4 linked regions of the Arabidopsis thaliana genome follow. The protein of the gene in region 1 interacts with the protein of each later gene in a pairwise test. Each region holds a gene or a part of one and is shown on either strand. Other genes may lie near its edges. The genes, in order: GLUR2, WNK3, GRXC1 and MSS1.

Evidence for each region.
Region 2: the proteins of GLUR2 (region 1) and WNK3 interact in a protein complementation assay, tested with the Arabidopsis thaliana proteins (one large-scale study listed by BioGRID).
Region 3: the proteins of GLUR2 (region 1) and GRXC1 interact in a protein complementation assay, tested with the Arabidopsis thaliana proteins (one large-scale study listed by BioGRID).
Region 4: the proteins of GLUR2 (region 1) and MSS1 interact in a protein complementation assay, tested with the Arabidopsis thaliana proteins (one large-scale study listed by BioGRID).

The regions. Positions count from the first base shown.
Region 1 is NC_003075.7:16,786,559-16,795,693, forward strand, and holds GLUR2 (glutamate receptor 2), read left to right. Parts: upstream 1-2,972; 5' UTR 2,973-3,474; intron 3,475-3,711; 5' UTR 3,712-3,731; coding exon 3,732-3,990; intron 3,991-4,076; coding exon 4,077-5,425; intron 5,426-5,517; coding exon 5,518-5,795; intron 5,796-5,885; coding exon 5,886-5,917; intron 5,918-6,001; coding exon 6,002-6,396; coding exon of another isoform or gene 6,397-6,414; exon of another isoform or gene 6,415-6,425; intron 6,426-6,477; coding exon 6,478-6,903; 3' UTR 6,904-7,127; downstream 7,128-9,135. Other genes in the region: DAZ2 (C2H2-like zinc finger protein), read right to left, coding at 871-1,725; AT4G35295 (homoserine kinase, putative / HSK), read left to right, coding at 8,775-8,825. UniProt on the Arabidopsis thaliana protein: Glutamate-gated receptor that probably acts as a non-selective cation channel. May be involved in light-signal transduction and calcium homeostasis via the regulation of calcium influx into cells. Could play a role in calcium unloading from the xylem vessels.
Region 2 is NC_003074.8:17,869,638-17,877,054, reverse strand, and holds WNK3 (with no lysine (K) kinase 3), read left to right. Parts: upstream 1-1,524; 5' UTR 1,525-1,834; coding exon 1,835-1,903; intron 1,904-1,976; coding exon 1,977-2,014; exon of another isoform or gene 2,015-2,118; coding exon 2,119-2,346; intron 2,347-2,424; coding exon 2,425-2,648; intron 2,649-2,727; coding exon 2,728-2,885; intron 2,886-2,968; coding exon 2,969-3,134; intron 3,135-3,287; coding exon 3,288-3,416; intron 3,417-3,504; coding exon 3,505-4,043; 3' UTR 4,044-4,235; downstream 4,236-7,417. Other genes in the region: CYP71A26 (cytochrome P450, family 71, subfamily A, polypeptide 26), read right to left, coding at 1-484; BIR6 (Pentatricopeptide repeat (PPR) superfamily protein), read left to right, coding at 5,126-6,991. UniProt on the Arabidopsis thaliana protein: May regulate flowering time by modulating the photoperiod pathway.
Region 3 is NC_003076.8:25,282,882-25,289,248, forward strand, and holds GRXC1 (Thioredoxin superfamily protein), read left to right. Parts: upstream 1-3,295; 5' UTR 3,296-3,470; coding exon 3,471-3,574; intron 3,575-4,181; coding exon 4,182-4,270; intron 4,271-4,353; coding exon 4,354-4,452; intron 4,453-4,550; coding exon 4,551-4,636; 3' UTR 4,637-4,813; downstream 4,814-6,367. Other genes in the region: AT5G63010 (Transducin/WD40 repeat-like superfamily protein), read left to right, coding at 1-86; AT5G63020 (Disease resistance protein (CC-NBS-LRR class) family), read right to left, coding at 371-418, 503-3,121; AT5G63040 (uncharacterized protein), read left to right, coding at 5,623-5,706, 6,153-6,222, 6,317-6,367. UniProt on the Arabidopsis thaliana protein: Has a glutathione-disulfide oxidoreductase activity in the presence of NADPH and glutathione reductase. Reduces low molecular weight disulfides and proteins.
Region 4 is NC_003076.8:9,242,067-9,251,134, reverse strand, and holds MSS1 (Major facilitator superfamily protein), read left to right. Parts: upstream 1-3,594; 5' UTR 3,595-4,140; coding exon 4,141-4,273; intron 4,274-4,833; coding exon 4,834-5,284; intron 5,285-5,913; coding exon 5,914-6,205; intron 6,206-6,579; coding exon 6,580-7,284; 3' UTR 7,285-7,737; downstream 7,738-9,068. Other genes in the region: AT5G26330 (Cupredoxin superfamily protein), read left to right, coding at 8,500-8,665. UniProt on the Arabidopsis thaliana protein: Mediates an active uptake of hexoses, probably by sugar/hydrogen symport.

The sequences.
Region 1 (9,135 bases):
TTGTTATTAAAAAGAGTTAGTAGTTGAATATTCACGAAGGTTGTGTGTCGCACTAGCTAGCTCGATAATTGTTTGAAGGACAATTGATTTAATATTTGTTTAATAGATTCGAGAAGATTAATTGAAAACTGTCTCGGATTAGGGTTCGTGCATGTTGTAATTAGTTCCGCGTGTTTACCTATAATGCATCTGAATCTTTAGACTAATAATTTTCTTTAAGATTCAATCTTTATTTAAGCATTGTTTATGTTAAAGCTAGCTGGTGAAAACAAGGTTATCTTAGATATAAGTAACACTAAGATTCTCTAGCGGAATAAGATCTAATCTATATACGATAGAATGGTAAGAGTTTTAAGAAAATAATTAAAAATAGAATGGTTGGAGTCTTGGAGATCGTGGTGAGTTTGAGATCAAGTCAAACAACGAAATTTGGCAAGAATAATACTAATTAAGCTTCCGTGAAATTAAAATGTTTTCCCTTTTCTTAGTTGGCTTAAATTTTACAAAACGGCTCAATATCTGCTTATGAATTTCATGTTTTAAGAGATCAATTCTGTTCTCTAGTATTTGGTTGGATATACGTTTGAAACTTTCTTTTACATTTTGGTACAACACAAGTTTTGTTTTCTTTCTTGATTCAAGTGTTTTTTTCTTTTCTTTTCTGATCTGATTCAAAATTAATTAATATACCAGAAAATCAGTGCATTTCGAAAGCACAAAACTAAATATTTTTCTTTATTAAGCATATATATAGCAGAATATCCTACATACGTTATACTTATCATCAAATCACAACATGTACATTGACCTATTAATTAGAAGGAAACATCCAATATACCTACAGACATTATATATATATATAGATACTAATTAGAGTCCTAACCTAAGATCTAAACAACACCCTGATGTGTCCGAAGTAGAAAGATCCTGTATTGTTGGAGGAACATTCAAATCCAAAGCACCACTGATCATCGGCTCCTCCTCCTTTTCCCAATGACATCTCATGTGACCTCCTAAAGCTTGACCACTCGAGAACACTCTAAAACAGATATTACACTTATGATGCCCTGAAAACGTAAGGATTTTTCCCTGATGATCATGCCCACTAGAAGTAGAAACCGTCATAGGATCATCGGTTACGTTTGTGATAGCGAAACAGCCTTTAACGTTTTTATGACTCGCTCTGTGTCCTCCTAAAGCCTGATGTGATCCAAACACTTTCTTACATCCTCCACACTCGAACCGTTCAATACTCGATGATGATGGTGTACCATTAGACAGCATTAAGAGACAAGAAGCGACTTCATGGTCTTCCTCGGACATAAATGAGACCCAATTTGGTAATATCTGGTTTAACTGTTTTGAAGAAGCCGCGGTGGGCACACGGTAGTTAGGAGGAGGATTAATGCCACGCCATTGACGCTCAGGGTGACATCTCATGTGACCAAAGAGAGCCTTCCAAGACCAAAACTTTCTGCCACATTCAGTACATGGACGTGTGATTTTGGGGGCATTTGGGTCTGGTTTTTTGGTGTATTTTGGTTTTGACGCGGATTTTGGTGAAGAACTAGAGGATGAAGCAACGGTTTTGGTGCGTTTCTTCTTAGGACTGTGATCGTAGCTTGAAGATAAAGCAAACTGGAGATTTGGATTAGGGTTGCTTGTGTTAGAAGGATGAAGTGGAATGTGAAAACTGCGATCATCATAGGAATGATTGTTGTTCATTGTGAGCACGTAGAGGAAGTGATGGAAGAAAAGTGGGAAAAAAAAGAGTAGAAGTTAGAGAAAGGGTTGCTTAAGTAGAAGAAGAAGGAGAGGTTACGTGGGAAAGAAGTTATGGAGGAACAGGGAGACAGTTAACTTCAGTTGAGGAACAGAGCGGTTTACTATGTAAGGAAGAGACTTATCTCTTTGCAGTTTGAAACCACCACGTTTTTTATGTATCAGTTTTGCTGCTTATTATTTGTTGGCCCAAGTTTATCTTTGATGGGCCTTATAATACTAGAGTTCATTATTTCTTATGGGCCTTATAATACTAGAGTCCATTATTTCTGATAGGCCTTATAAATCTTGCGTCTATTATTAAATTCTAAGCCTATGCAAGAATATTGAAGCAACAAAATTCCAAAGCCAACAAAATTCCAAAGCCAATTGGAAGATTTGGAAAAAGTAAAGATTTTAGTGGAGTTTGAGCTTCCATTACTCAATTTCGGTGGAGGTTCCACACTTCCACAGAAATAAAATCGCCACTCTCCCATCCCATGATTCACACTATTGAAATTGGACATTTGATTACGATTTGTTTCCTAGATTATTATTTTTGTTTCTATATCCGTTAGATTTTCTTTATCGTGCGTTTTCTTATCTTCCTGAAACATTTAAATAATAACAAGAATTGTTTTTGGTATAAGTAAACTTGTCTCTCTTTTTTGGTAAGAAGGTTTAAGGTTGCCTATATAGGACAACAAAATCAGAAAATGCCATAAGCATCTGTAATTTTTATTGGTTTGGGGTAAAAAAAGGTTACAAATAAAAGAATGGTCCAACAACATACATTCATTTTTGGAGTTATGTCATATGTGGAACATGGGAAGATGTTTTAAATACCTGAACCAAATAATATTCGAAATATCCAGACTTTCTCATTGTCGCATGAAAGACCACAAAATATAATACTATTACTTTTCAAAAAAGAAAATGAAACAATAAAATAAATTTAAAACAGTCATTGGATCAAGGTATAACGGAATCCAAATACAAGTATAATATATAATTATAAAATACTGATTCAATAATCAAAAGTATAATCATACAACTCCATGACGCAAACGATTAATGGTCCCAAAGATGATTTGGTTAATTATCTCTTTTTTTGGGTTAATGATTTCACTAGCCAATAAAAGATTATAGACTACCATTATAGATTATAGTAAGGAATAATATGTTTCTCATCATCATCTTCTTTACTTTGGCTGGGAACCAAAAGGGTCACTTCGTCACTTGCAAACAAAACAAAAAGTTTTCATTTTTCACTGGAAACAAAACTTACAAGTTAAGAAGTTCACATTTTTCAATCGATAATGGCTCATTATCTATGTCGACAATTATGGTTAGTCTATCCAATTTCCTTCTCTAACTCTTTTTTTCTTAGCCTGTAAATGTGACTAGTGCATGAATTCTGATTGGAAGTAATCAAATCCCACCAAAAAGCTTACCACTTTCCTAAATCTTCAAGCAAACCCATGATTTTACTTTTGTCAGTTTACCTCCTTTTTGTTTATTGAAGACCTACTCCTTCCTTTTTTCAGGTTTTTATATGTGTACTCCTCTTGCTTGTTCCTCATGCTTTCTTTCAGCTAGATTTTTCATGTGCCTGACGAATCTGCTTTTCTTTAAAGGATGATTTTGGTTTGGGTTTGGGTTTTGGCATCTCTGCCACTCATTTCTTGACAATCCTTGTTCTCTATGTTTGAGGTAAGGGTTTAATCCTCGTGACACTTTTTCAGTTCTGGTTAAAGTCACTTTCTTTGCTTATCTTCCTTATTCTTTTTGTTTCATTAGAAGTTTCTAGCTTTCTCTTCCTATGTTACTCTTTTTAAAAAAATCCCATTTTGATTTGGTGAAGTGGCTCACAATCTCTCATTTTGTGATTCTTAAAGTTTTTGGGAATTTTATCTAATTGTTGTTTGTTTATCAAACTTGGTGTTTCAGGAACTGATTAAGCCAAAGCTATGTTTTGGGTTTTGGTTCTGTTGAGCTTCATTGTTCTTATTGGTGATGGGATGATTTCAGAGGGAGCTGGTTTAAGGCCTCGTTATGTTGATGTTGGAGCAATATTCAGTTTAGGGACTTTACAGGGTGAAGTTACAAATATTGCTATGAAAGCTGCAGAGGAAGATGTAAATTCTGATCCTAGCTTCCTTGGTGGATCAAAATTGCGTATAACGACGTATGATGCAAAGCGTAATGGATTCCTCACCATCATGGGAGGTGAAAAAAAGATATGATCTTGTTTCGTTGATTCTTGTTTTGGAACTAAACTTTTACTTATCCTTTGTGTTGGTTTTATTTCACAGCTTTGCAATTCATGGAGACTGATGCTGTGGCTATCATTGGTCCTCAGACATCAATAATGGCTCATGTACTGTCTCATCTTGCAAATGAGCTTAGTGTGCCTATGTTGTCATTCACAGCTTTAGACCCTAGTCTCTCGGCGCTTCAGTTCCCGTTCTTTGTCCAGACAGCACCTAGTGATCTCTTTCTGATGCGTGCCATTGCGGAAATGATAAGTTACTACGGTTGGTCAGAGGTGATTGCATTGTATAATGATGATGACAACAGTAGAAACGGTATAACAGCTTTAGGCGATGAGCTCGAAGGAAGGCGCTGCAAGATTTCATACAAGGCTGTGCTTCCTTTGGATGTGGTGATTACGAGTCCTCGTGAGATTATAAATGAGTTGGTTAAGATTCAAGGGATGGAATCTCGGGTAATCATTGTGAACACTTTCCCTAAAACAGGTAAGAAAATCTTTGAGGAAGCCCAGAAGCTTGGCATGATGGAGAAAGGCTATGTTTGGATAGCTACAACTTGGTTGACTTCTCTGTTAGATTCTGTTAACCCGTTACCTGCCAAGACTGCTGAATCTCTTAGAGGCGTGCTTACTCTTCGTATTCACACGCCAAATTCAAAAAAGAAAAAAGATTTCGTGGCACGGTGGAACAAGTTGAGTAACGGGACTGTCGGTTTAAACGTTTATGGTCTCTATGCTTATGATACTGTCTGGATCATTGCTCGAGCTGTTAAGAGACTTCTAGATAGCAGAGCTAACATTTCCTTCTCTAGTGACCCAAAGTTAACCAGCATGAAGGGAGGAGGGTCACTGAATCTAGGTGCATTGAGCATATTTGACCAAGGATCACAATTTCTTGATTATATTGTGAATACAAATATGACTGGTGTTACAGGTCAAATACAGTTTCTTCCTGACAGATCAATGATACAGCCCTCATATGACATCATAAACGTGGTTGATGACGGGTTTAGGCAGATAGGGTATTGGTCTAACCATTCCGGGCTCTCTATTATACCTCCAGAGTCACTATACAAAAAGCTTTCAAATCGTTCGAGCTCAAACCAACATCTGAACAATGTGACTTGGCCTGGTGGGACTTCTGAGACACCACGTGGTTGGGTTTTTCCTAACAACGGGAGACGATTGAGAATCGGTGTACCCGATAGAGCAAGTTTTAAGGAGTTTGTGTCAAGGTTGGATGGAAGCAACAAAGTGCAAGGGTATGCCATTGATGTCTTTGAAGCTGCGGTAAAACTGATTTCTTATCCGGTTCCTCATGAGTTCGTCCTATTTGGAGACGGTCTCAAGAACCCAAACTTCAATGAATTTGTCAACAATGTCACTATTGGGGTGAGCAAAAGAATCAAGAAAATATCATTTCTCTTACAAAGCATTGTCGAAACTGACTGTAATAGTTGTGAGTTGTTCATTTCTGCTTTCAGGTATTTGATGCTGTTGTAGGAGACATAGCTATTGTTACGAAACGAACAAGGATTGTGGATTTCACTCAGCCTTACATAGAATCAGGGCTTGTCGTGGTTGCTCCTGTCACAAAGCTAAATGATACTCCGTGGGCGTTTTTACGCCCTTTTACACCTCCAATGTGGGCTGTTACAGCAGCTTTTTTCCTCATCGTTGGATCAGTAATATGGATTCTTGAACATAGAATCAACGATGAGTTCCGCGGACCTCCAAGGAAACAAATTGTTACTATTCTCTGGTTAGTAAACAGTCACTGAAGTTGCATTTTATCAATATGTTGGCACATAACATACCTAAAGACCTCATAAGCTATGATCTATGTATGCAGGTTCAGCTTCTCCACGATGTTTTTCTCCCACAGTAAGTTACATCTAAAAACTGCAGCTAAGTTACTACTGTATAGGTGATGATATCTCCAACATCTTTATGCTACTAAACTTGCAGGAGAGAACACAGTGAGTACACTCGGTCGTGCTGTTCTGCTCATCTGGCTATTTGTGGTACTAATCATAACATCAAGCTACACAGCGAGTCTTACATCGATTCTTACAGTGCAACAGCTAAACTCACCAATCAGAGGAGTAGACACACTCATCAGCAGCAGTGGACGAGTTGGGTTTCAGGTAGGTTCTTATGCAGAAAACTACATGATTGATGAGCTTAACATTGCCAGATCCAGACTTGTACCACTCGGCTCTCCTAAAGAATACGCTGCAGCTCTTCAAAACGGAACTGTTGCTGCAATTGTTGATGAGCGTCCTTACGTTGATCTCTTCCTCTCAGAATTCTGCGGATTTGCCATTAGAGGCCAAGAATTCACCAGAAGTGGCTGGGGATTTGTGAGTACCTTCATTTAAAACTGTCTCTGCGGTTTGTTTGAACATTAATCTTGATCATCTTTTTTGCGGTTTTGTTTGTAGGCATTTCCAAGAGACTCTCCATTAGCAATCGACATGTCAACCGCGATCTTAGGTCTATCAGAAACCGGACAGCTTCAAAAGATCCATGACAAGTGGCTTTCAAGATCTAACTGCAGTAACCTCAACGGTTCAGTGTCAGATGAAGATTCAGAACAGCTTAAACTCCGAAGCTTCTGGGGATTATTCCTTGTGTGTGGGATCTCTTGTTTTATCGCTCTCTTCATCTACTTCTTCAAGATAGTCCGCGACTTCTTCCGCCACGGCAAATATGATGAAGAAGCCACAGTACCTTCACCAGAAAGTTCACGTTCTAAATCATTGCAGACATTTCTAGCTTATTTTGATGAAAAAGAAGACGAATCCAAGAGAAGGATGAAGCGTAAACGAAACGATGATCTTTCTTTAAAGCCTTCTAGACCAATATGACAGATCCATCAAGACTCAAGCATGAAAGATGAAGAAATGCAGACACACATACCTCATACTTATATAGTAGAATGCAGATTTTGATTTTAACTGTACTTCAAGAATAAGCCTTGAAGAATACGGAACATTTTTTAACCAAAGAAAGTGAAGCATTAACTTGTAAGACAAAGCTATATCATACATAGTTCTTAAAAAAAAGAATTACTTGGTATCCTTTTTATCTTCCAGTTATGTTGCATACCAAAACTGTAAAAACTAGAGGTGCCAATCCGGATTAGGCAGTTTAGTTGCTAAACCGACTATATCCAAACTCGGAAGCTTTCCAAATGTACCGGTTGGTTTTTACTTTTTATAGGATAGTTAGTGGTTGCTGATTAGCCATTGAATCAAATTAGTCACACTAATCACTAAAAACATTTATAAACTCAAACAGTTAAAAACTTGGCTAGTTTTCTGTCATATACTACTATTATGTAAATTAAATACTAAGAAAAAAAAACTATAAAAACAATCTCAAAAAGAAAAAAAAACTTTCAAAAATCTGAAGAGAAAATATCAAAATTCGAATAAAAAACTTGGATACTTAAAATCTACATAAAAATGATATAAAAAATATTGAATATTTGGAATCTCTAACGACTAATGCTGGATCCAAAATCCGGTTAGTTATCAATTTTTATATAATATTATGAAAATTAAATATCAAAACAATAAAAAGATAGAAAATAAAAAATAAAAATAAACCTTAAAAATCCAAATACAAAATATCAAAATTTTGAAAAAGCAATATAAAATTCGAATTAAAAATCTCGATATTAAAAATCTATATAAAGATGATATGAAAACAAGTTGAATGTTTGGAATCGCTAACAACTAATGTTGGTTCCAAAATACGATCAGTTTCATACATCATTATGCAAATTTAGTGTAAAAAAAAACCTTTTAAAAATCCGAATATCCAAATTTACATAAAATGATATGAAAACAAGTTGAATGTTTGGAATCGCTAACAACCGAGACTGGATCCAAAATCCGCTTAGTTTCAAATATCTTTATGTAAATTTAGAATAAAAACAAAATAAAAAATAAAAAAAAACTTTAAAAGTCCGAAAAAATTGACTTAAAAACTTGGATACTAAAATCTTCATAAAAAATAAGAAAACAAGTTGAATGTTTGGAATCGCTAACGACCGAGGTTGGATCCAAAATCCGGTTAGTTTCATATATTTTTATGTAAATTTATAATTAAAAAAAAAAACCGGAAAAATTGACTTAAAAACTTGGATACTAAAATCTACATAAAAAAAATGAAAACAAGTTGAATATTTGGAATCGCTAACGACCGAGGCTGGATCCAAAATCCGGTTAGTTTCATATATCTTTATGTAAATTTAGTATCAAAACAAAACAAAACAAAAAAACGTTTAAAACTTTTAAAAATCCGAATAAAAAACTTGGATAATATATCTACATAAAAATGATATGAAAACAAGTTGAATATTTGGAATCGCTAACGATCAAGACTGTATCCAAAATCCAGTTAGTTTTCATATCATCGTTATGCAAATTAAAAATCCGTGAGAAAATCGATTTTTGGGAGGAAAAAAAAAAAGTAAATAAGAAGGGATAGGAAATGAACCTCAATTTGTTGATGGGCTTCTGAGTATTATATGGGCTGAAAATGAGATTTGCAGTCCAAGCCTCTTTCGTCCACCGCCATGTCCGTCTTCCCCGTGTGCGTGTCCGTGACTGATAAACCAAAAGCCTCCGATCATCCGATGAATCATGAACCGGAGAAACCCAAAAGTCGCCGATCATCCGATGAATCATGAACCGGATAAACCCAAAAGCCTCCGATCATCCGATGAATCATGAACCAGAAAACGCAAAATCTTCCGATGAACCATTGCATTGAAGACAGGGTAAACAAAATCCGGAATCCTTTGAATTCAAACAAAAGTAGAAAACTTCCGACGACGGAGACTGAGAGAAGATATCGTAACGCCATTAACGAGAGACAAAGGAGGAAGAAGAAGAATCAGAGTTGAATTAGAAGCGAAGGAAACAGGAATCGAAGAAGAGAATGGTGAAAATCAGAGCAATTGCGTATGTAATTTCATCTCTCTCTCTCTCACTTAAGAATTTTCTATCTCTGAGAAGGGTTCCTCAATTTATAGACACATCGTTTGTGTTTGGGATTCAAAGTTTCCTTTTTTCTTAACGGCTCTTTGT
Region 2 (7,417 bases), on another chromosome or scaffold:
TCGATTTCCTGATCTTTTCCATCATCAGACTGATCTCTTCTTCTCTCACTTCTCGAAAGGATCGTACCATTTTGTTGCTGAATAGATGGAGGACGCACACACTTTTCATTTGCCTCCAGTACTCTCCATAAGGAGCTGAGGCCACATCATGCTTATCGTAAAGAAGTTTCTCGAAGATTTTTGACCGTGGCCGGCTTGCGAAAACACGGTCATGCGTCTTCAAAACGTCTCTAGCCAATTCAGCTGAAGATACTACAAGAACGGGGACACGGCCAAAGTGAAGAAGCATAAGAGGACCGTACCGGTGGCTGAGAGAGCATAGTGATCGGTGAGGGTGGCGGCCGAGTTGATGAAGGTTTCCGATCAACGGTAGTCCCGGTGGTGACGGAAGTGTGTTTCTTTTCTTCCCTCTCTTCTGTTTTCTGAAAATTATGATGGTAACTACAAAGATTATTGAGCATAACAGAAAGAACATGATCATCATGTCTGGATTCTTCAAGTACATCAAAACGTGTTCTTGTGAAGAGTTTTTATTTGTGGTTTTTTTGGACTTACATATACAAGCCAAGTTTCTTCACGGTAGTACTAGTACGTAATTACTGTCCACTCAATCTTTTGGACTTATGTATTTATGCATGCACCAGTCTTTTAATGTTTAGTTCTTCGAGATTTTTCCTTGTGAAAGTCATTTGGTGCGTTTACGATTTATGTCTTATTTTGGTCGTGTCACCGTTCTAGTCTTTCGGTGCTTCCACGATGTGTCTTACCACCATACAATACAAGTGCCTAGGATAATGGTCTCAGGCTGCCGTCAGCTCTAAGGATTTATATACTCTGGGCCCAATGGGCCTTACAAAAATTTGATGATCATTGTATATAATCGGTTTTTAAACGGCTGAACCGCCAATTCATACTCATCAAAAATACAACGACAACATTGTTCAACAAACAATTCTCCATGAAAATTTAAATGTCCTAATTCGTCTCAAACATTCTGTCTCCAATATGTAAAACATTTATATTTTGAGATATAAGTAGAAGTAATAGATTATAACAAATGATCATAACATTAGTGTAGTGATTTGTGTCAGTACAAGTTTCTATTTAAAGTGTAACAACATTGAATATTTATGTTTCACCAAAAACTATGACTATTATTCTATTAATCCTGAGAGAGAGAGCAAAACCCTTTAGTGAAAAGTTTCCTTAAGTTTAAAAGAACTGAAGCTGAAGTCCAAATTGTTGTTTACACACAGTAAAATCGAATTCGTTACCATGACAAGCGGGTTCAATGGCTAAACATTTTGTAATTTACCAAACCCATTATTCGATTTGTAGGATAGTCAATTATAGGGTTCTTAGTCAGCTAAAACAGTGACTTAAGAGTTAAGAAGGGGAAAAAAAAAGTCCGAATATTTTATATTCACAACACCATGAAGTTGACTGAATAAGCAAAATAATTGATTAGAGTAACATGACAATAAATGAGAAGAAAATCAAATAAAAAACCAGATCCATGGCGCGAAAAAAGCAACGACCCACACCTTTGCCACGTGGTCTTGTCCAGTGGATCTGAGTGTCCTAAATTCGAAGATGAGAAAGAGAGAGAGTGTACAACATTCTACAGTCGACACCATTATGATCAGCAGCTGGAAAAGCTTAAGCTTGGTTTTAATGGCACAAAATCTAAATAATCGATTTATACACAAAAAGACAGCTAAGTAATGATTATTATTATTATCAGAAACTGCTTCAAAACTTGTTCTTCCTTGACTAAATTTCTCTCTTCTCTCAAGAACTCCTATCATCTGTTTTGAATTGCAAGTAACCAAGAATGCGACAAGACGAGAATAACTCCGAGGAAGAATTCGTTGAGATTGATCCCACTGGTCGCTATGGCCGGGTCTGTTCTTCTTTACTTGATTTTAGTGTTACCTTTTTCTCAATTCTAATGTTTTTGTTTCTCATGTTTTCAGTATAAAGAAGTTCTAGGCAAAGGAGCTTTCAAAGAAGTGTATCCTTTTTCTTAGATCTCTGTTATTACTACAGAGACAAATCAGATTAGATTCGGACAAGACACAGTCACTAAAGGGTTTCTTTGATCAGAGAGTTCTTCAGATACAGAGCATTTGACCAACTTGAAGGAATCGAAGTGGCTTGGAACCAAGTTAAGTTAGATGATAAATTCTGTAGCTCAGAGGATTTAGATCGTCTTTACTCTGAAGTTCACTTACTCAAAACCCTTAAACACAAAAGCATCATCAAATTCTACACTTCTTGGATCGATCACCAACACATGACTATCAATCTCATCACCGAAGTCTTCACTTCCGGAAATCTTAGACAGTCAGATTCCTCTCTCAGAAGTCAAATCAAATCTTTTTTATTTGATCAATATTATTCATGTTTGACAAACCCTTATAGGTACCGGAAGAAACATAAGTGTGTTGATCTAAGAGCATTGAAGAAATGGTCAAGGCAGATCTTAGAAGGGCTTGTTTATCTACATAGCCATGATCCTCCTGTGATCCATAGAGATCTTAAATGTGATAACATTTTCATTAATGGGAACCAAGGTGAGGTCAAAATTGGAGATCTAGGGCTAGCCGCGATTCTGCACCGCGCTCGCTCTGCTCATAGCGTCATCGGTGAGATCTTTAATCTTGTTCTCAAACGAAAAAGTTTCTCCATTGTGAAACTATAATTTTGTGTTTGAAATTGTTTAAGGAACTCCTGAATTTATGGCGCCGGAACTCTATGAAGAGGACTATAATGTACTTGTCGATATCTACGCGTTTGGAATGTGTTTGCTTGAGCTGGTAACTTTTGAATACCCGTATTCCGAATGCACAAATGCTGCTCAGATTTATAGGAAAGTTACATCGGTAAGTGATCATATTCCCATCTCATATCCAATCAAGAATGACTTTTTCCATATTGTCGATCCATTTTTCTCAATGCTTCTTAGGGAATCAAACCAGCCGCTCTTTTAAATGTGACTGATCCGCAAGTGAGAGCATTCATAGAGAAGTGTATCGCAAAGGTCTCGCAACGCTTGTCAGCCAAGGAACTACTTGATGATCCTTTTCTGAAATGCTACAAGGAAAATACCGAAAACGTCAGCTCTCACAAAGGTAATATCAGATTATGGTATTTCATTTCATCTCAATATGAAGTGTCATGGACTCCTTTCTTAAAAGTTAAAATCAATAATAGTAACATAAGATAGTTTCTATATTTTTTCTATGTGAAATTTTCTAACACCAAGTTCAATAACATTGTCACAGAAAATGGTTACAACGGAAACGGAATCGTGGATAAACTCTCGGATTCTGAGGTAGGCTTATTAACCGTAGAAGGCCAACGTAAAGACCTCAACACAATCTTCCTAAAACTACGTATCACCGATTCCAAAGGTTCAAAATCTTTTTTGCTTTTTTTATTACAAATCTTCAGATCATTACTAAATCTTCTTTTGACACAATAATAACATTTTTTATACAGGTCAAATCCGCAATATCCACTTCCCATTTAACATAGAGACAGACACATCTTTCTCAGTCGCCATCGAAATGGTCGAAGAACTAGACTTAACCGATGATCAAGACATCTCAACGATAGCTAAAATGATCGACACAGAGATACATTCACACATCCCCGATTGGACCCCTTCTCGACTTATCGGTGATGATTCAGCGGTACAAAAATGTTTGTCTTCTCCAGAGACGCTCCATTTAGATAGATTTCCTTCAGGGAGAAAATTCTGGTCCTCTCCTAAAGCTGGAGCTGGAGACTCACGTTCACCGTTTGCGCCACGGTCTAATTCTAAGTTGTCGTCAGCACAAGGACCGATCAATCAAGAAGTTGGGGTTATAGTAGAGAAACTTGAGTCTTTGTTGAGGAAACAGAGAGAGGAGATTGAAGAGATGCAGAGAGATCAAGAACGTATTGTTACTGAGTTCTTAAAAGAGTTTCCTCCTGAGATTTGTGAAGAGGCTTTGGTGAGATTGCAAGTTAAAGATTCTGATAACTTATTGTGTTAGTACGTTTTTTACATTACACACTCTCGTCAAGATTAATTTGGTTTGCAATATTATGTTGTACTAAAGGTAAGTAAATGTGTAACAAAATTGTGACAGTTATGATTGAAGGAAAACTATTTGTCAAATAATATTTCTTGAATTAGTTAGGTGAAGACGTAACTAGCTCAGAAGAGTCTGGGAGAAGAAAAGAACGCGGTGATGATAGGTCACATCACTGTGTTCTTATTCACTTGATTCTTCTGAGCTAGCCTCGTCCTCTTCACCCAACTCTTATGAACCTTACTCGTCTTCACTGGACTCACTTGCAGAGACTCTAATAAGGTTGTCTTATGATCTATGCTCGCCTCTCATAATCTTAGAAGAAGATATAGAGCGGTTCATATTTTGTTCTCTCTCGCCTATTAGGTTTAATGGGTACTGGTGTTTCTTAAATAGCGTATGCCTCAAGATAATATATTAGGGTTTCATAGATAATAAACCTAATCACCAAAACATTTGGCATAAATGGGCTAAAAGCCCAAAATTTCATAAAACTACCTTAAAACATCTTTATAGGAAAGAAAGCGTTTCAGGGAGTAAGCAAATATAAGCATATGGCAGCGTCAAGGACTCAAGGGATCCAATCAAAACTACAAAGAGCAAATAAATAATCAAAACAAAAACTGAAATAAACTAAATTCTCATACTTGTTCAGGAATTGGTTTCTGATCCGTCGAAGCATGCACTCCCTTGCTCTGCCATGAAGAAAACATTTTTCCGATCAATTCTAGGGCACCGAGAAAAGCCCTCAATTTTCATAAGAACTAAAATCGAAAAGTAATTTAAGTTAAATTGTTCTTGTTGGTAAGCGATTCCGGGACTGGACCCAAATATCTGGCATAAATGGGCTTAAAAGCCCAAGCCAGAATAAACCAACTTGAAAATATCATATCACAGCATTAAAACGCAGCGTTTCAGGAGTTAAACCCCTAAATTTTCAGGAAAATTGCATTTTTGCTTAAACCCTATTATTGTCACTTTCTCTTCCTCTCCCTCTTCCTTATTCGAAAACACACAAAATCACAGTAGTAGCATCTGTAGCCATGTACAGATCAATGGCAATCCTGTCTTCTCTTCGACACGCGTACTCACAGATCTCTACTCGATCGTATCTAAGCCGATCTAAGGTGGGTTTTTCCTCAAACTTGTCTTCGCCTCTCGATTCATTTGCAATCGTCCCTAGTCGATTTCTTTGGAAATTTCGAACCTTTTCTTCGAAACCAGATTCTATGCTTCAATTAGTGCTTGAGAATGATTGGTCTAAGGAAGTAGAGGAAGGATTGAGGAAACCTGATATGTCTTTGACACACGAGACTGCAATTTACGTTCTGAGGAAATTGGAGAAGTATCCTGAAAAAGCTTATTACTTTCTCGATTGGGTTTTGAGAGATTCAGGGCTTAGTCCAAGTACTCCACTCTATAGCATTATGTTGAGGATTTTAGTGCAGCAGAGATCAATGAAACGGTTTTGGATGACTCTGAGGGAGATGAAACAAGGAGGGTTTTATTTAGACGAGGATACTTATAAGACTATTTATGGTGAGCTTAGTAAGGAGAAATCGAAAGCTGATGCTGTGGCTGTGGCTCATTTTTATGAGAGAATGCTTAAGGAGAACGCAATGTCTGTTGTTGCTGGAGAGGTTTCTGCTGTTGTTACTAAGGGGGATTGGAGTTGTGAGGTTGAGAGGGAATTGCAGGAGATGAAGCTCGTTTTGTCGGATAATTTTGTGATTAGGGTGTTGAAAGAACTAAGGGAACATCCTTTGAAAGCTTTGGCGTTTTTCCATTGGGTTGGTGGTGGTGGTAGTTCTTCTGGTTATCAACACAGTACTGTTACTTATAACGCAGCTTTGAGGGTTTTGGCTAGGCCTAACTCGGTTGCAGAGTTTTGGAGTGTTGTTGATGAAATGAAGACTGCAGGGTATGATATGGATCTTGACACTTATATAAAGGTTTCAAGGCAGTTTCAGAAATCTAGAATGATGGCTGAGACAGTTAAGCTTTATGAATATATGATGGATGGTCCGTTCAAACCATCTATTCAAGATTGTAGTCTTTTGTTGAGGTATTTATCGGGTAGTCCCAATCCAGATTTGGATTTGGTGTTTCGGGTTTCGAGGAAATATGAATCAACAGGGAAGTCTCTCTCAAAAGCTGTTTATGATGGAATCCACAGGTCTTTAACCAGTGTAGGTAGGTTTGACGAAGCTGAGGAAATCACCAAGGCTATGAGAAATGCGGGTTATGAGCCGGATAACATCACATACAGCCAACTCGTGTTTGGTCTTTGTAAAGCTAAGAGATTAGAAGAAGCACGAGGAGTCCTTGATCAAATGGAAGCACAAGGATGCTTTCCCGACATAAAAACTTGGACTATACTGATCCAAGGGCACTGCAAAAACAATGAATTGGATAAGGCCTTGGCGTGTTTTGCGAATATGCTAGAGAAAGGGTTTGATATTGACTCTAATCTGCTTGATGTCTTGATAGATGGGTTTGTTATCCACAACAAATTCGAGGGGGCAAGCATATTCCTTATGGAGATGGTGAAAAATGCCAATGTAAAGCCTTGGCAAAGCACGTACAAACTTCTTATAGACAAGCTGCTAAAGATCAAGAAGAGTGAAGAAGCACTAGATCTTCTTCAGATGATGAAGAAGCAAAATTACCCTGCGTATGCAGAAGCTTTTGATGGATACCTTGCAAAGTTTGGGACTTTGGAAGACGCTAAGAAGTTCTTGGATGTGCTTAGCTCAAAGGATTCTCCTTCCTTTGCAGCCTACTTTCATGTCATTGAAGCTTTCTATCGAGAAGGAAGACTCACTGATGCGAAAAATCTTCTCTTCATATGTCCCCATCACTTTAAAACTCACCCTAAAATCTCCGAACTCTTTGGTGCTGCAGCTTGAGGTATTATGTCACCCAATTGTTCCGCAGAGACATGTTCATCCCATTCAGCTACAAGAATACAACCAAGAGGTCATCTACTGTTTGGAAGTCTTTCCATTCAACCTCTCTGGAATAAAACTCTACTCTCTTTGCGAATAATGTCCATTCCTCTGTTCTACGTGCTGCAGGGTAGTAAGATGATTTTGTAGGCTTTGTTGATGGAACTGAAAGATGTTGTAGGATTGTTCATAAACAGTTTGCATTTATTTATTCATTTTGCAATTGTTGAGCTTCTCTGTCTCTTTCTTGTTTTCTTCAACTCAGTATTGAATGGATATCATTATTTTCATCAGAGAATGCAATTATGGATTGAGGTCTTGATCATGTCCTGGTAGAATCTTTCTCTTTGCTTTCATCTTTATTGAGGATCATTGTTGGAAGTATTA
Region 3 (6,367 bases), on another chromosome or scaffold:
AAAGCGTTGTGGCAACTTGTTCGTTTTATGATCGGCTTCTTCGGGTATGGATGCCGATAACTGATTTTTCCACACGATGTTCCTAAACTTAAGAACACAGCTGTTAAGGTAGATTCATCTGTGCTCCGACTTGAATTAGGAAATTTCTTTGAGCTCTGATTTCGAAGGGTCATGTTGTTGTACTTCGTTTTCCTTATTTCCCGGAATATTTATTTGGTTGAAGTTGTTTCAAGAACCATCTGATATGGTTGAAACAACTTGAACCCCATACTTAATGAAAGTGAATTTAATAACATATGTTGAGTTGGAGCAATAACACTTATGTCTGAATATTTAAGTCACTCAATATCAGCAACAAGAAGTCATCGTCTCAGAAGGAAATCTCATAGCCGTCAGCGTCGATGTTCTCCGGAAAAGCCTAAAACATCCAAAAAAGAGAGTAAGATCCAAAGGAATGAATAATTAAAAAGAAGTTTTGGCAGATAAATGCGAGAGAAAGAACCTTGAGTGTAGGCAAGAAACGGGCTTTGGTGGCTTCATCTTCCCATTCAAGGATTTCTATCCATTTTTTATGTGCCTCTATGACAAGATCACCTCTTGGGACACTCGTGAAATTGAGTGGAAGTTTTCTCAGCTCTGAGCATCCATTAACCAAAATTTTCTGTAAACAGGGAAATGGCAGGGGACCCCGGTGGATGTGTTTTAGCATCTGAACATTTTCTAGCCGCAACTCTTTTAGTTCTTGGAAGGGAATAAGGTTTTGCTGCTCAGCTTTCTCTTTGTTTATTACTTCTTTCAGGTCACTCGCTGAAATTACTCGTAGAACCGTAAGATTTGGAGCAAAGATCAGCCACGTCAAATCCCGCAATCTTGTGCAGAATTCTAAAGACACTTGCGAGAGGTTTGGGAAGAATGTGGTAGTGGTTGGGATGTGCAGAGGCAAAACCGTCTCATTCCTCTTTACCTTGATCTCCCAAATGTCAGAGTCTGCAAAATGAAGCTCTTGAAGACTGTCCATAGTAGCAACAAATGAGATTACAGATGATTGCGGATTAAGATTCTCGATGCGCAGAGCTCGTGTACAGCTTGCCAACCTCTGGTTGCTAAGGAATTGTTCCAAAATAGAAGCAAGACCAAGAGTTATGGTTAAAGTTTGCAAGTTTTCCAAAAGCTGCAACTCGTTCAAAACACAGGGATCTTCAGGGAAACCGGAAACAAATAATCTCAACACTTTCAAACTTGTTAAACCTGATATGCCACAGATACTCTCTACCATCCTTGTGTACTCCAAATTCAGGTATAAAAGTTTCCTCAACTCTACTAAACCAGCAGGCCAAATCCTTATCCTTGTACGTGATAAGCTCAGATACTGCAATGAGACACATTCTGATATTTCATTTGGCAAATGTCTGAGATCCCTGTTCATTGATAGATCAAGAACAACTAGCATTGGCATCAACCGAAAGAAGCTGCTTGAGATATGCCCCAAGAAGTTCTTTCGGAGGAGCAAAGTTATAAGTTGGGGAGATTCAGGAGCATCACGTATACTTTCAATGTTGTTAAACATCAATGACACCCTTCTCGCAACTTTCCACTTCTCGATCTCAGGTATGTTCCTCGACTGTAAGCCCGCTTGCACTATAAAGTTTTCTTTTTGCTTTCCAAAATCAGATGCTATCCACAATGCCATTTCTCGGACCACATCATGCATCTTCACCGTTTCTTGATTCTCCTCCATCAATAAGCATGAACGAACTAGAATACCGATAATTTCATAACCTTGGTTCTCAGCTTTACCTTTGTTTCTATCTATGAATCCCTCACCTATCCAGTAATCTACCAAATCATTTTTCTCAATGTTATGATCTTCTGGAAACAAAGCACAGTACTGGAAGCACAATTTGAGCTGTTCACTTTTTAAATTATCATAGCTGTACTTTAGAATAGGTAGAATCTCATCTTCCATACCTGAAAACTCAGCTGCAGATGAAGTCAAAACGTCGATTGCTGAACGCCATTCTTGCACTGTCCTTTTATATGCCATTGTTTCACCAATGACGTTAAGGGCCAATGGTAGGCCGCGACATTTCTTAGCAACTGTTCTTGCGACTGTGGGAATCTCAGGGTGGCTCCCTAATGTGATCTCTCCTACTTTCTTAGTAAACAAATCCCACGCATCATCCGGGGCTAAACACCGGACTTCCATATCGCTATCAACTCCCATCCGCCCGCAGATTTCTTTCAACCGAGTGGTGAATACTATTTTGCATCCGTTTTCTCTACTCGGAAACGGAACTCCCACCTCTGTTAAATCCACTTTACTCCATATGTCATCCAATAACAAGACAAACCTTTTGTGCTTTAACACATTGTAAATGTTAGATGCTTTTATGTCCTCTGTTTTCTGTTTCCACTTCTCGTTATCAGACCGTAACTTCTCCCATATCTCATCTTGGATCCTCTGGATCTGTAACTCTTTGGAGACCACAATCCAAATCACAATATCAAACTCGCCCCCAACTCTAGAGAATCTATTGTTGATATGACTGAGAAGTGTAGTTTTACCTACTCCACCCATACCATGAAGACCAAGAATCCCAATCTCATCTTCCATTAGACGGTTCCACGCACTCTCAAGCATTGGATCCATAGCAACCATAGGTCTAGTAGGCCTCTCTTCCACTCTTGCTGCATCAACTCTCTCAGCCACCACAGCGAAATCTCCCTGATATCGAAGAACCTCAACTTCCTCTATCATCTTCATTACTCTCTTCCCATAACGGTAGCTTGAGACAAGATTCTTGGAACAAAACCCACAAAGACACAACCTTTGGACTTGAACAGATCTCATTCTGACGAGTTCGTTAACTCGAGGTACTATTGCTTCAACTTTTGAAACCCATCCTTGCACAACAGAAAGTCGTTGTAAACCTCGTCTTTCTTCAGACAAAATCTTTCTCAACAAATCTTCTCGTCTTTGCTCAATCTGCTCAAGAGCTCTCTGCAGAGCTGTCAGATTCTCCTCTAAGCCATGAATGTAATCTCCATTCCTGTTTAAGCAACTACAAACATTCTTCGTCAACTGATCACATGATATTGATACAGAGACACAACCTCCCATCCTGCGTTTACACAAAAGAAGAAGTAAACTTGTGGCAGAGAACTAGAAGAAGAAAAAGGATAAGAGCTGCTGAGTTGTGAAAATTGACAATAATCCAAACTCTAAAGTCGTCGCTATTGTAAACTTTAAACAATATTCTGAAAAGAGAAATTTCTACGAAAAAAGACTAAAAGAGTATCATTTCAGAAAGATAACTTTTTTTCAACGCAAATAACTCTTTAATAAATATTGACTGAGGTTTGATTGAAAGAGATAAAAACTTCATTTGCCAGCAAGATTGGCACAAAACTCGAGCAGAGGACATCTGTAGGAGTTGTGTCGTGGTCGTCTTTGGTTAAGAGAAGAAGAAATGGGTTCAATGTTCAGTGGAAACCGAATGAGCAAGGAAGAGATGGAGGTGGTGGTGAACAAGGCTAAAGAGATCGTCTCTGCTTATCCCGTTGTTGTCTTCAGGTTTGTTCTCGTTGAAATCTCCCATCTTTTTCATCTGGGTATTACTCTTTTCGTTCGTGATTATGAATTTGTTGAGAAAATTGGATGTTGTTGCCTTGAGGGGTTTTGAATTAGTCAAAAAGTTTGAGTCTTTACCATCAGGGGGTAGAGTCTGCTTCTATTTGACGCAGAGGCACCAATGGATCATTGTCTGCTTGTTTTGTTGTTTCCATCTGTGAAATTAGGTCGTGAATGAAAGATCGAACATCATCTTATATTAGTGATTCTCCATCCAATTCAGAGATTATTTGTGGGTTCCCTAGACGATTAGGGATGTGATCATGTAATATATACTGATAGATCCAGTTCTCAAATTTGATTCTGACTAGTCTAGAAATCTTTGAAGAAGCTAGAGTTTTTGAAGATTGATCCGTGCAAGCTCCTATGACTGATTTGGGGATGCCTTTCGGAGTTTTGAAATGAAGCTTAATTTGTTGTTGCTTAGAGTCTTGAGTTTGATTTTGCTTAGTCTTAAAAGGAACGTATTTCTTTCCACTTTTTGAGATGGTCTAAAGGTTACTTTTCAAATGTAATGTCTTAGCTCTGATCCATATTTTCTCTTTCGCAGCAAGACATACTGTGGTTATTGCCAGAGGGTGAAGCAGTTACTGACGCAGCTAGGAGCAACTTTTAAAGTACTTGAGCTCGATGAAATGAGTATGAAACCAAATCCCTGTCAATACCTGTATATTAATATATCTCAATGAACCTGAATTATCTCGATGCTATGTTTACTTCAGGTGATGGAGGTGAGATCCAATCAGCTTTATCAGAGTGGACTGGACAGACCACAGTTCCAAACGTCTTCATCAAAGGAAACCACATCGGTGGATGCGATAGTAAGTGAAAAACCTACACAAATTCTCTGCACAATAATGGAAATTCGGGTTGCCGGAAAAACTAACTGCGTTTTTCGTGTTGCTTCTATATTTTGCAGGAGTGATGGAGACCAACAAGCAAGGCAAGCTTGTGCCTCTACTTACTGAAGCTGGGGCTATTGCAGATAACTCTTCTCAACTTTGATGAAACTCGAAACTAGTGTGTGAAGAGTGTGTGTTGTGTTTAGATCATGAAAAAAGAGGTATCGTCACATACTCAATAAAGAAAGATCATTCCCGTTGTTTAATACAGAATATCTAAGTGTATACTTTTCATGTTGGTGTTTCGGTTAATGGAATAAAACTTGAGAAATCTGCTCTAGTTTCTTGCTCTAAATTACTGAAGATTACTGGTTGCATCCCAAGTTGACTTTGTAGCAGGCCGGTCAAGTAGGTGGATTAAGGCTTTTGGTTGAACCAAACTTATCTAGTAACCGGCCGTGTAGGTGCCTTAAAGGCTGAAAAACTAATATTAGCCAAATCGATCAACGGAAAGTTACGATTGAAAGAGAAATGAATATTCGAACAGCAGAAGTGCATTTTCACTGATTTGTGTAATCCAAATTCGGATTCGAACAGCACAAGTACATTTTTCACTGATTTGTGTAATCCAAATTCGGAGAACCAATGTCCAATGGCAATGAATAATGTCAATTTGGTTAATCTAGATTTATTATAAAGTATAGTGCAAAATCGTAGTTTAAGAGAACTTGTGGGGTCAATTAGTAAATATTATCTAGAGCCGGTTAAAGAAGAGAAACTGAGGAAACTGAATTTGACCAGAGAGTGTGTTCAAGCGAAGCGTTGTAGAAGAAAAGACAAAGTTTTGGAATAAGCGGAGCAAAACCTAGACAGGCCCGTGTAAGATGGAGATTTGTTTTAAAGATTTATCAAATCAATAACTACTAACCTAAGCAAGTAACGAAGCCGTGGCTCTCACAAATTAGCCCAAATCCTCAAATTTCACCAAAAGTCTTCGAATTTATTCTCCAGTATCAGTTTCTCTGGGAAAAAGTTCTACTTTTGCGGACTCTGAGGAAATCTTTTGTATCTGTACACCATTCATGGGTTAATCCGATTAAACCCGTGTTGCTCCGTTAGGGTTTAAGAGAATTGCCGCCTTCACCGGCCATGGCTGCTAAACTTGTGTCCTCCTCGGCTTCTTCTTTGGTTCCATCCATTTTCTCGCCGTTTCAACCTCGGAGTTCCTTTCAGGTGACAATTTCTTAATTTGTAGTCAGCCTTTAGAGTTTCTTCTATGCTGCATCTGTGTTTCATGCTCCCAATGTATTGTCTCGACAGATGTTTCTCCCAATGTGGTTTGAGACATTGAACAAATATTCATTTGATCTAGTAGGAAAATTTAGTTGACACATTTGAGTATACTAAAATCAATGTGTCTGAAGTGGACTTTAAGATATAGTTTTTGCAATTCTTACTTAGATTTGATTGGGACATTGCAGTCTTGTTCTCCATAGATGATGCCTAGAAAAAACTGGAACTTCATCTGATCAATAATGCTTTTTATTAGGTTATGATAAAATGAAATCAAGTGTTGGTTTCATTTGTTGTTGTTGATGAGGTTATTACCTGCTGTTTCTTGGTCTTGGGAAGCCCATGTTTATGGATATTTGCTGATATTTGTCGTCTCCAAACTTCAGTTTCGTTCACCGAGGGTTCAGCCTGCTCATCTCCATTGTTACCATTCTCTGCACCTTAAAACTGATAAAAGTAAGTTCCTTTCTTACTCTTAATTGTTATCCTTTGGGGGTATGAGTGACTTGTGAGTAAGTTTTCTGACTGTATTTGCATTCGTTATGAACAGTTGGCTCTCTTCACATTTCCTCAAGAGGCCAAAAACCAAGCGAAGTCTCCC
Region 4 (9,068 bases), on another chromosome or scaffold:
CGACAACAACTCTTCCATGTAGTTCTAAGCTTCTCAAAACAGATATAGAACTTGTCAAATTGTTGCTTACCATCAGCTCTAGGAATTGTCACAATCTCTGTGTGTGTGTGCTTGTTAGACCTCTGAAGCTCACCTTCATAATCCCACAACTTCGCAAATTGCTGTCTCTGTGTTTCAATAACCATGTCAAACGCCATCCTTCTTGCTTTCCTGCATATCCACTTAGACACTGAAATCGTATACCTCATCATTATCTCATCCTTAATGTCAACCTAAGTCAAGGTTGGCCTCCTTCTTGCTTCATCTCTGAATAATCTGGCAATCACACCTTGTTTCAGCATCCTCGCTTTTCCACTGATCGCATGCTTATGTGCATCCACATAAGTTTTCACTGTCCATTTCCCTACCCTCTTATCCACAAAACAATAAATCTTCCATTGACAGTTTTCATGGCTGCATATAGCCATCAGCTGTTTCTGACCCCATTTGCATAACTTCACATCATAGTTAGTCTTCAAGACATACCTCAAAAGCTGATCCTTAAACTCTTCACCATTATTAAACTGCTGCTTAAGCCATAGATAAGGTGGCTTATCTTTGGTGAATTTAGCTCTTGCAATTTCTCTTTCTTCACGGTCTAAAGCATCCCACTCCTCATCTGTATCCAACGCAGCATCAGGTCGCTCTGTATCCATGCATTGATCCTCAAACTCTTCTTCATCAATACCCTCTTGACCAGCCTCTTGACCAGCCTCTTGACCAGCCTCTTGACCCGTTACATGTCCTTCATCAACTCCAGCCTCTTGACCCGTTACATGTCCTTCATCAGCTTCAGGAATTCCCTGACCAGCTGCTTCCCCTGCATCTTGGTGGTTATTATCCTCTTCATTTATCTCTTCATAAAAGGCCCTAAACCGAGGATCATCTCCCTCACATTCTGCTACAGGATCAACATCATCATCTTTACCTCTGTCTTCTTCCCCAGTTTTATCTCCTTCAACCTCTGCATCAGACTCTTCCATCTCTTCAACAACAGCCTCTTCACCATGCTGAGACATAGGAAACGGTGTTGGTTCAGACACACCTTGCTCAATATAAACGTCTACTTCTCCACCAATCAACGCTTCACTGCACAGCTGCCTAATCCCACTATCTCTATCCTCGCCTATAGCTCTTACTGATTCAAAGCTTTCGTGTGCAAGCTTGTACCAAACTTTTTTCACGGGAGCAGATACTCCATTCTCTGCTGGGAAATCGGCGAAGATAGACCACGTCATCAGATCTGGATCAATGAGCATATCCCTCTTCTCAAATCCTCCAATGTAGGCAAACGACTCATCGCGAATTGAGACATCTCCTCCATACTTTATATGCAGCTTCAAACAATCGAAACCACTGCAAAAACAACAAAGAATAAGGGGATTAAGTTCAAATGACACAAACCTAGAACTCTAAAAACCCAGAAATCAAACCCGACAAAACCCTTAACCTAGAAATCGAACCCGACAAACATAGAAACTGTTACTCTAAACTCAGAAATCTAACCCGACAAATCCAGTAATCGATCCAGAAATCTTCCCATTCTCAATCCCGACAACCCAGAAATCGATCCCGACGAACAAAGAAATCGATTTCCCCCAATTCTAACCCTAAGAATCGATTCGATTACATACCTCATCGTGACTTAGCAGACTCGTTGAAATCAATTACCGACCACAACGCAACCAGTTAAACGACGACACACATCGAAATCGATTTGGGGTTTCGAAATCAAAGAGAGAATTTTAGGGTTTCGAAATCAAAGAGAGAATTTTAGGGTTTGGAATCGAAATCGATTTGGGGGAGAATGCCAAAAGGGTAACAGTGTCTTTGATTAGATCGAAATAAACACGTGGGGTTAAGTATTAACCTCGGTTAGACACTCCGTTAACGAAGTTAACAGTCGTTAACCCGAGAAGCTGGTTTTTCCAAACAAAAACTAAACGAAAGATTTTAAAGCGAAAAGAAATAAACCTAGGTATTGTTCGGGCAAATTAAATAACCGAGGTATTAAACGGGCAAATTAAAAATATATGGGGTGTTTTTAGGGTTTTTTCCCCATTTTATATTTATCAGCTAATATTCACTTATGGCTTGCTCAGTTCAGAAAATTATGGAAATCGTTGTAACCCAAACCTGTGATAGTAAAAACTGTAGGCGATACCTGAATCGGGAAAAGTTTACTTTATAATACTTCGGTTTATTTCTACCGAAACTGATCAAATCAGCCGAATGAGTACAATAAAAAGAAAGTAAAAAATTATGAAAATCGCCGTACTATTTAAAATTTTCACCACAATTAGAAGCAAAAATCTTTAGTATTTTACCAACATATATATATATATATATATAAAATCTACGAAAATAATACTGGAATGCTGAAATAATGGGATGTAGTTTCGTTTCTTGGAGCAACGTACTTACAGAGCTATATTTTTATTTTAGTTTTTGTTAACAGGATAATAACAATAACTTTATAGATATTTATTGTTTATATATTTTATTATTGTTATTGCTCTCGTTGAAAACAGAATAATAATAAAACAAGCCTTTTTCTTGTTAACGACTTGACGTATTTTTTTTCTCTTTTCCTATTAATTATCGTCACGTTTTATTACGTTTCTCTCATTGATATTTGTGGAATCTGAATCGTATTAGTCGACTCCAACTCTTAACAGGATAATGATGTTTGAAAAGTAAAATACACACTTTTTTGGTCCAAGCAGGAATATTTTGTTACGTAATTAATTTTACATGTATGTCAAGTGGATATAGTTTACTTACAAGTCTAAACACATTATATCCGTGGTACAATATTTCAACAATTAATATTCAATTTTTAATTTGCATGTGTTGTCCTACTTTAATATTGATATATCAGTGTATAGGAAAAACTTCAATTACCAAAACCACAAAAGAATGAAAAATCATACATCAAAAATCAAAAACCTAAATATATTGGAAAGTCAATTATATTAAAGGTAGATATTTACTTGTTGTTGTTGTTGCATTGCAACTTTTCAACGCGTAAACAATAACTGAGTAGCAGTGAGCATATTTGGTTATTAGTCTTATCAGAACCAAAAACATATATGGTTATTGTCTTTTAAAGATATGGACCCATGAACTATACAAAAGTGACTATTTGGTAGATATACACAAATAACGTGACACCAACTGAGAAAACCATATGACAAAACAACACATATAAATTTAAAAAATTGGCTTCGACTAGTTGTAGATATTTTGTTCCATAATCGTATTAGAACGAGAGTAAACAATAATTGAATCGAGTGGTGAGCAAATATGGTTATATATTATAACGATTTTAAAGATTTGGATCCATATTCTTAATTAGGGAGGTTGGTGGGTTCGATTGGTGTCGGTCTAGTACTCACAATAATTGTTTCATCTCAATATGATTCTGAAATAAAATGTTGAATATTGCTTACGGTGTTAAAAGTATATGGGACTAGATATGGCATATAACGTAACACTTATACATAACATCAATAAATTTAGACAATACAAAGGACAGAATTAGTAAGATAAAATTCACAAGTAACATGACGTTGGCTATTTTGTATGAACACACGGCCCAAATCGTTCATATTCTAAAAGGTATAATACATTTCGAGATATTTTGCTTCGGTTGCAAGATTTTCACAACACATTGAGTCATTGACAGCGATATGAGAAAATGTAACAATCTCTCTAATAAGAAAGGAGAATCTTATAATTTAACATAAAAATAAATATAATATTCGAGGATAATACTATAACAAGAAAGAGAAGACTTATATGATGATGGGCAAATTGTATATTCAACTATAAGGACTTAAGGAGACGCCACATAAAGCAGAAAGAGTTTAGAAGAAAACGTTTGTTGACCAATGACTTGATGACTCAGTAGCATGTGAACATAAAAAGAGACGTGCAAGAATCTCATTGGCTGCAGATAACATCTATTTTTGCTTCACTACCTCAACTTCTCTATATAATGAAGTAAACACCCCCAATGGTCTCTTTAACTTAAGTGTTTCTGTTTAACTCCTTGAGAGAAAATAACTTTTAAACTTTAGCTTCTAAGAGATATTCAGGATGACCGGAGGAGGATTTGCGACTTCGGCGAACGGAGTAGAGTTTGAGGCAAAGATAACTCCAATAGTCATCATATCTTGCATCATGGCTGCTACCGGCGGCCTCATGTTTGGTTACGACGTCGGTGTCTCCGGTAAGAATATTAACATCCCTTAGTTATTTTTCTATATGTATAATACAATCCTTTTATCTTATATTATACAAAACGTAGAAGAAGTTTTTATTTTAAAGATACATAAGTTTTTGTTAGTGCAAGTTTTCTCAAAAAACGATTTTAAATAGGACTTGCTCATGTTTTCAACTACCGCCAATAACTTCTTTGGTAGAACTATTTCACCTAATACCTAACTTCTTTGGTAATCAAAATGAAATTTCAGTAACTAGCTCGATGTTAATTAATATTGGTTAAAGTAAGAAAATAATCAAAAAAAATCTTAGCTTACAAAAGTTTGGCAGCTAAAGATCTAGACCGTCCTTGTTTTAGTTAGTATATTGACAAAAGTAGTGTCATATAGGTTTTAGTTCTTCTTTTTGTTATTTTCTTACAACACACATGCTCGATGTTGAATTTGAACATGGGCTACATCAACATGAATAAATTAATAAATTTATGAGTATAATATCCTATAGGGTTTAACGGTAAAAATAGTAACAACAAAAATAATTTTCCATCATTGAAATGGCTATACGCAGGCGGAGTGACATCGATGCCGGACTTTCTCGAAAAGTTTTTTCCCGTGGTTTATCGGAAAGTAGTAGCTGGCGCCGACAAAGACAGCAACTACTGCAAATACGACAACCAAGGACTACAACTTTTCACATCATCTTTATACTTAGCCGGTCTAACCGCAACGTTCTTTGCTTCATACACGACAAGAACGCTCGGAAGGAGGCTAACTATGCTCATAGCCGGCGTTTTCTTCATCATAGGTGTGGCTCTCAACGCGGGGGCTCAAGACCTAGCCATGCTTATTGCAGGCAGGATATTGCTTGGTTGTGGAGTTGGGTTCGCTAATCAAGCCGTTCCGTTGTTCTTGTCGGAGATTGCACCTACTAGGATCCGTGGTGGTCTTAATATTCTCTTTCAGCTTAACGTCACTATTGGTATCCTCTTCGCCAATCTTGTCAACTATGGGACCGCCAAGTAAATATCTCTTCCCTAATACTTTTCTTCTATATTTTATTTGATAATCTGAAAAAATGTGTGGAAAATAAACTTAGGGTTTGAGATTTTTTTGACAAAATAAAATCCAAATTAATATATGGTGGTCATAATTTTAGAAAATTTGCTTTAACATGACACTTGAAAAAATATCCACATGAATTGTCTCTTTCACTTCACACAACCTTAAATTTATTGTAAGAAAAAAAAAGATTTAGTTACATGTACTACCTAAAAAGTATTCATAATTTTCTGATCGTTTTTGTCAAACTTTTTGGCTGTCTTCCGTGTTTATTTAAATTTATTTTCACCTTTTTCAAAAATCATTCATATCCAATTACCAAAAAAAAAAGCATTTAACTTTATGAATAGATTTGAACAAAACAACAAAGAAAAAACTTTATCATATAAGTCGCAAACATAATTTTCTTCCGTGCTTTCGGCAAATTCTATCCACATGCCTACGTCTTATATAGTCGCAAACAAAATTTTCTCCGGCATTGACTTTTAATGCGTTATGATGATCTGTCACCTGTAATTAATGGGCTTACGTGTAGGCCCATAACGGAGTTAAAAACTGGCCCACTAAATAAATTTTGAAATGTTCGCAGGATTAAAGGAGGTTGGGGATGGAGGTTATCGTTAGGTTTGGCGGGAATTCCCGCGCTTCTTCTAACGGTCGGAGCTTTATTGGTGACAGAGACACCAAACAGTTTAGTCGAAAGAGGTCGTCTCGATGAAGGTAAAGCTGTTCTTCGTCGTATTCGAGGGACCGATAATGTTGAACCAGAGTTCGCTGATCTCCTTGAAGCTAGTCGACTTGCTAAAGAAGTTAAACACCCTTTTAGAAACCTTCTTCAACGTAGAAACCGTCCTCAGCTCGTCATCGCCGTCGCTTTACAGGTTAGTACTACCACTTCTCTGTTCTCTCGTAATTGGTAATCGGAAAAGTTTATCTCCGATTTGGAGAGTTTGACTGAAGTGATTTTGTTTTTCGTTTAGGATCTAGAAACCCTAAAATTTGATTCCATTGTGGTCATTTTAGGAGCAATAACCCTAATTGTTTGTCAAGTTTCCATAATTTTAATTCCATTGTGTTCATTTTAGGAGCAATAACCCTAAATTGTTTGTCAAGTTTCCATAATTTTGATTCCATTGTGTTCATTTTAGGAGCAATAACCCTAAATTGTTTGTCAAGTTTCCATAAATTTTGATTCCATAGAGTTCAGTTTCAAAGTTTAAAGCTAATCTTTTTTTTTTTGGTGTGCAATTTGCAGATTTTCCAGCAATGTACTGGAATCAACGCGATTATGTTCTACGCGCCTGTTCTGTTCAGCACATTAGGGTTTGGTAGTGACGCTTCACTTTACTCAGCAGTGGTGACCGGAGCAGTCAACGTCCTCTCAACTTTAGTCTCAATCTACTCCGTTGACAAAGTCGGTCGCCGAGTTCTTCTCCTAGAAGCTGGTGTCCAAATGTTCTTCTCTCAAGTCGTAATCGCCATTATCCTTGGCGTCAAAGTAACAGACACTTCTACAAATCTCTCCAAAGGTTTCGCAATTCTAGTCGTGGTAATGATCTGCACATACGTCGCTGCTTTCGCCTGGTCTTGGGGACCGCTCGGGTGGTTAATCCCTAGTGAGACATTCCCTCTAGAGACACGTTCCGCGGGACAAAGTGTAACGGTCTGCGTTAACTTGCTCTTCACGTTCATTATCGCTCAAGCTTTCCTCTCTATGCTTTGCCATTTCAAGTTTGGGATATTCATCTTCTTTTCTGCATGGGTTTTGATTATGTCTGTCTTTGTGATGTTCCTACTTCCGGAGACTAAGAATATTCCTATCGAGGAGATGACTGAGAGAGTTTGGAAGAAGCATTGGTTCTGGGCTAGGTTCATGGATGATCATAATGATCACGAGTTCGTGAATGGTGAGAAGAGTAATGGTAAATCTAATGGCTTTGATCCTTCAACACGGCTTTAAAGTGGTTTAAGAGTCCCTAACCAAAGTAGAAGCAGAAGAGAGTGAACAAGAGGTGGTAAACACACCAAAGTAGAGAAGGGAAATACAGTTTTCAATTCTATACAGTGTACTAAATTTCGTTACTTTAAGTTTGAACTGCGTTTGTGAATAAGTGAAGTTTTTTTTTTTGCTTTGTTGTGGTTCTTAATGTCATCCCTGAGTTCCAATTTTCTACAAGTGTGACATGTATATGTCAAACTCTAAATTTGCATTGTCGATTTTCTCTTAAAAATGATGGTAGCCTATGTTAATGGGCCAAATATAGGTTTGTTATGGGCCTATAATGGACTGTATAATTATTTTTGTTGGTCTCAAATTGCTTAAAAATATAGACTAGTTTTGAAGTTATACAGTCTACTCTCTACTAAAACCAGCAGTGATCAAATTGCATAAAATGTTGTTATAAAAGTTTACCCAAAAAAAGGTATTTATCACAAATATATTACTTAGATTAAAGAAATCATGGTACCAAGATGTAGGAGGAAGAGTAACTGCGAAGTACTAAAATTAAAAGATGATTCAAAATTAGCAGACCAACTAACTCGCACCATTCTTTCCTTACAAGCCTTCCAAACTTTAAACCATGTGAACACTTGACAACATATAACAAGAATCACTTTTTTCTCCTTTTGTTTAAAAACCGACTAATTTATGAGTTTTCAAAATGAATTAACCATAGTATTTTTTTATAAATTGGATTATTATATCCCAAACTAAACTTCATGTGAGATTTCTAAGTCATTCATGTCTTTTAAAAAATATCATGTCAAGATTTATTTAACATTTTATAAAGTTTTAAGGAAAAAAATCATCATTTAATTTCTTTCCTCCATTATTCTTTCTCAATTATATCGACATTTTTATTTTTTTATACATTCTTCCAATTTTCCAAGTCAGTCTTAGACATTAAATCCAACACTAATAAAAGGTAAACAAGTAAAGTAAACAATCTTTGTCAGTATTTTGCTTTTTAGACACTCCTTTCTCCAAATTAGCCAACTAACCAATAAAGATCAAGTGACCTCCTAATACATACGCACCACCACTCACATTCACATACCTCCTTGTATATATACACACACATAATAAGAAAGAGAGAAACTAAAGGAGAAAACCTTGTGGGGCTCTTTACCAAAGAAGAAGAAGAAGCGTGTGTCAGAGAAAGTTTGTTGACCGATGGCAGCCATTATAGTGGCGGCTTTAGCGTGTATCGTGGTGATGCTACGACTGAGTGAAGCGGCCGTGTACAAAGTCGGCGACTCAGCAGGATGGACAACCATAGCCAACGTAGACTACAAGCTATGGGCTTCTACCAAAACTTTCCACATTGGTGATACTGTCTGTGAGTTCCTGAATTTTCTTACATCATTGTACAATACAAGCTAAATTAAAATGAGAAGATCTTGACTGTAATACTTAATTTTGTCGGAAAGTGGACCCCCTCTAGCATTCATAATTCTTAAGTGCGTAAGCTTTAGGTGTAAAGTAAAGAGTACCACTCACGCCCTAATCATTGAGACTTTTAAGTCACAAATTAAATTTATAGGATTAATACGAAATCAAGTGTCACATCTGCTAAAGTGATTATATTAATTAGTTTAGAGAGGTTCTTAACTTATGAATCATGATTGATAAATTTTGAAATAAAAACTATGATTGAGTTTTTGGGCCAAAATATGTTATGATTTTTCTTTGGTTTATATATGCTCTCTATTTTTTTCTCATGGTATGCACATGTTTAAAAT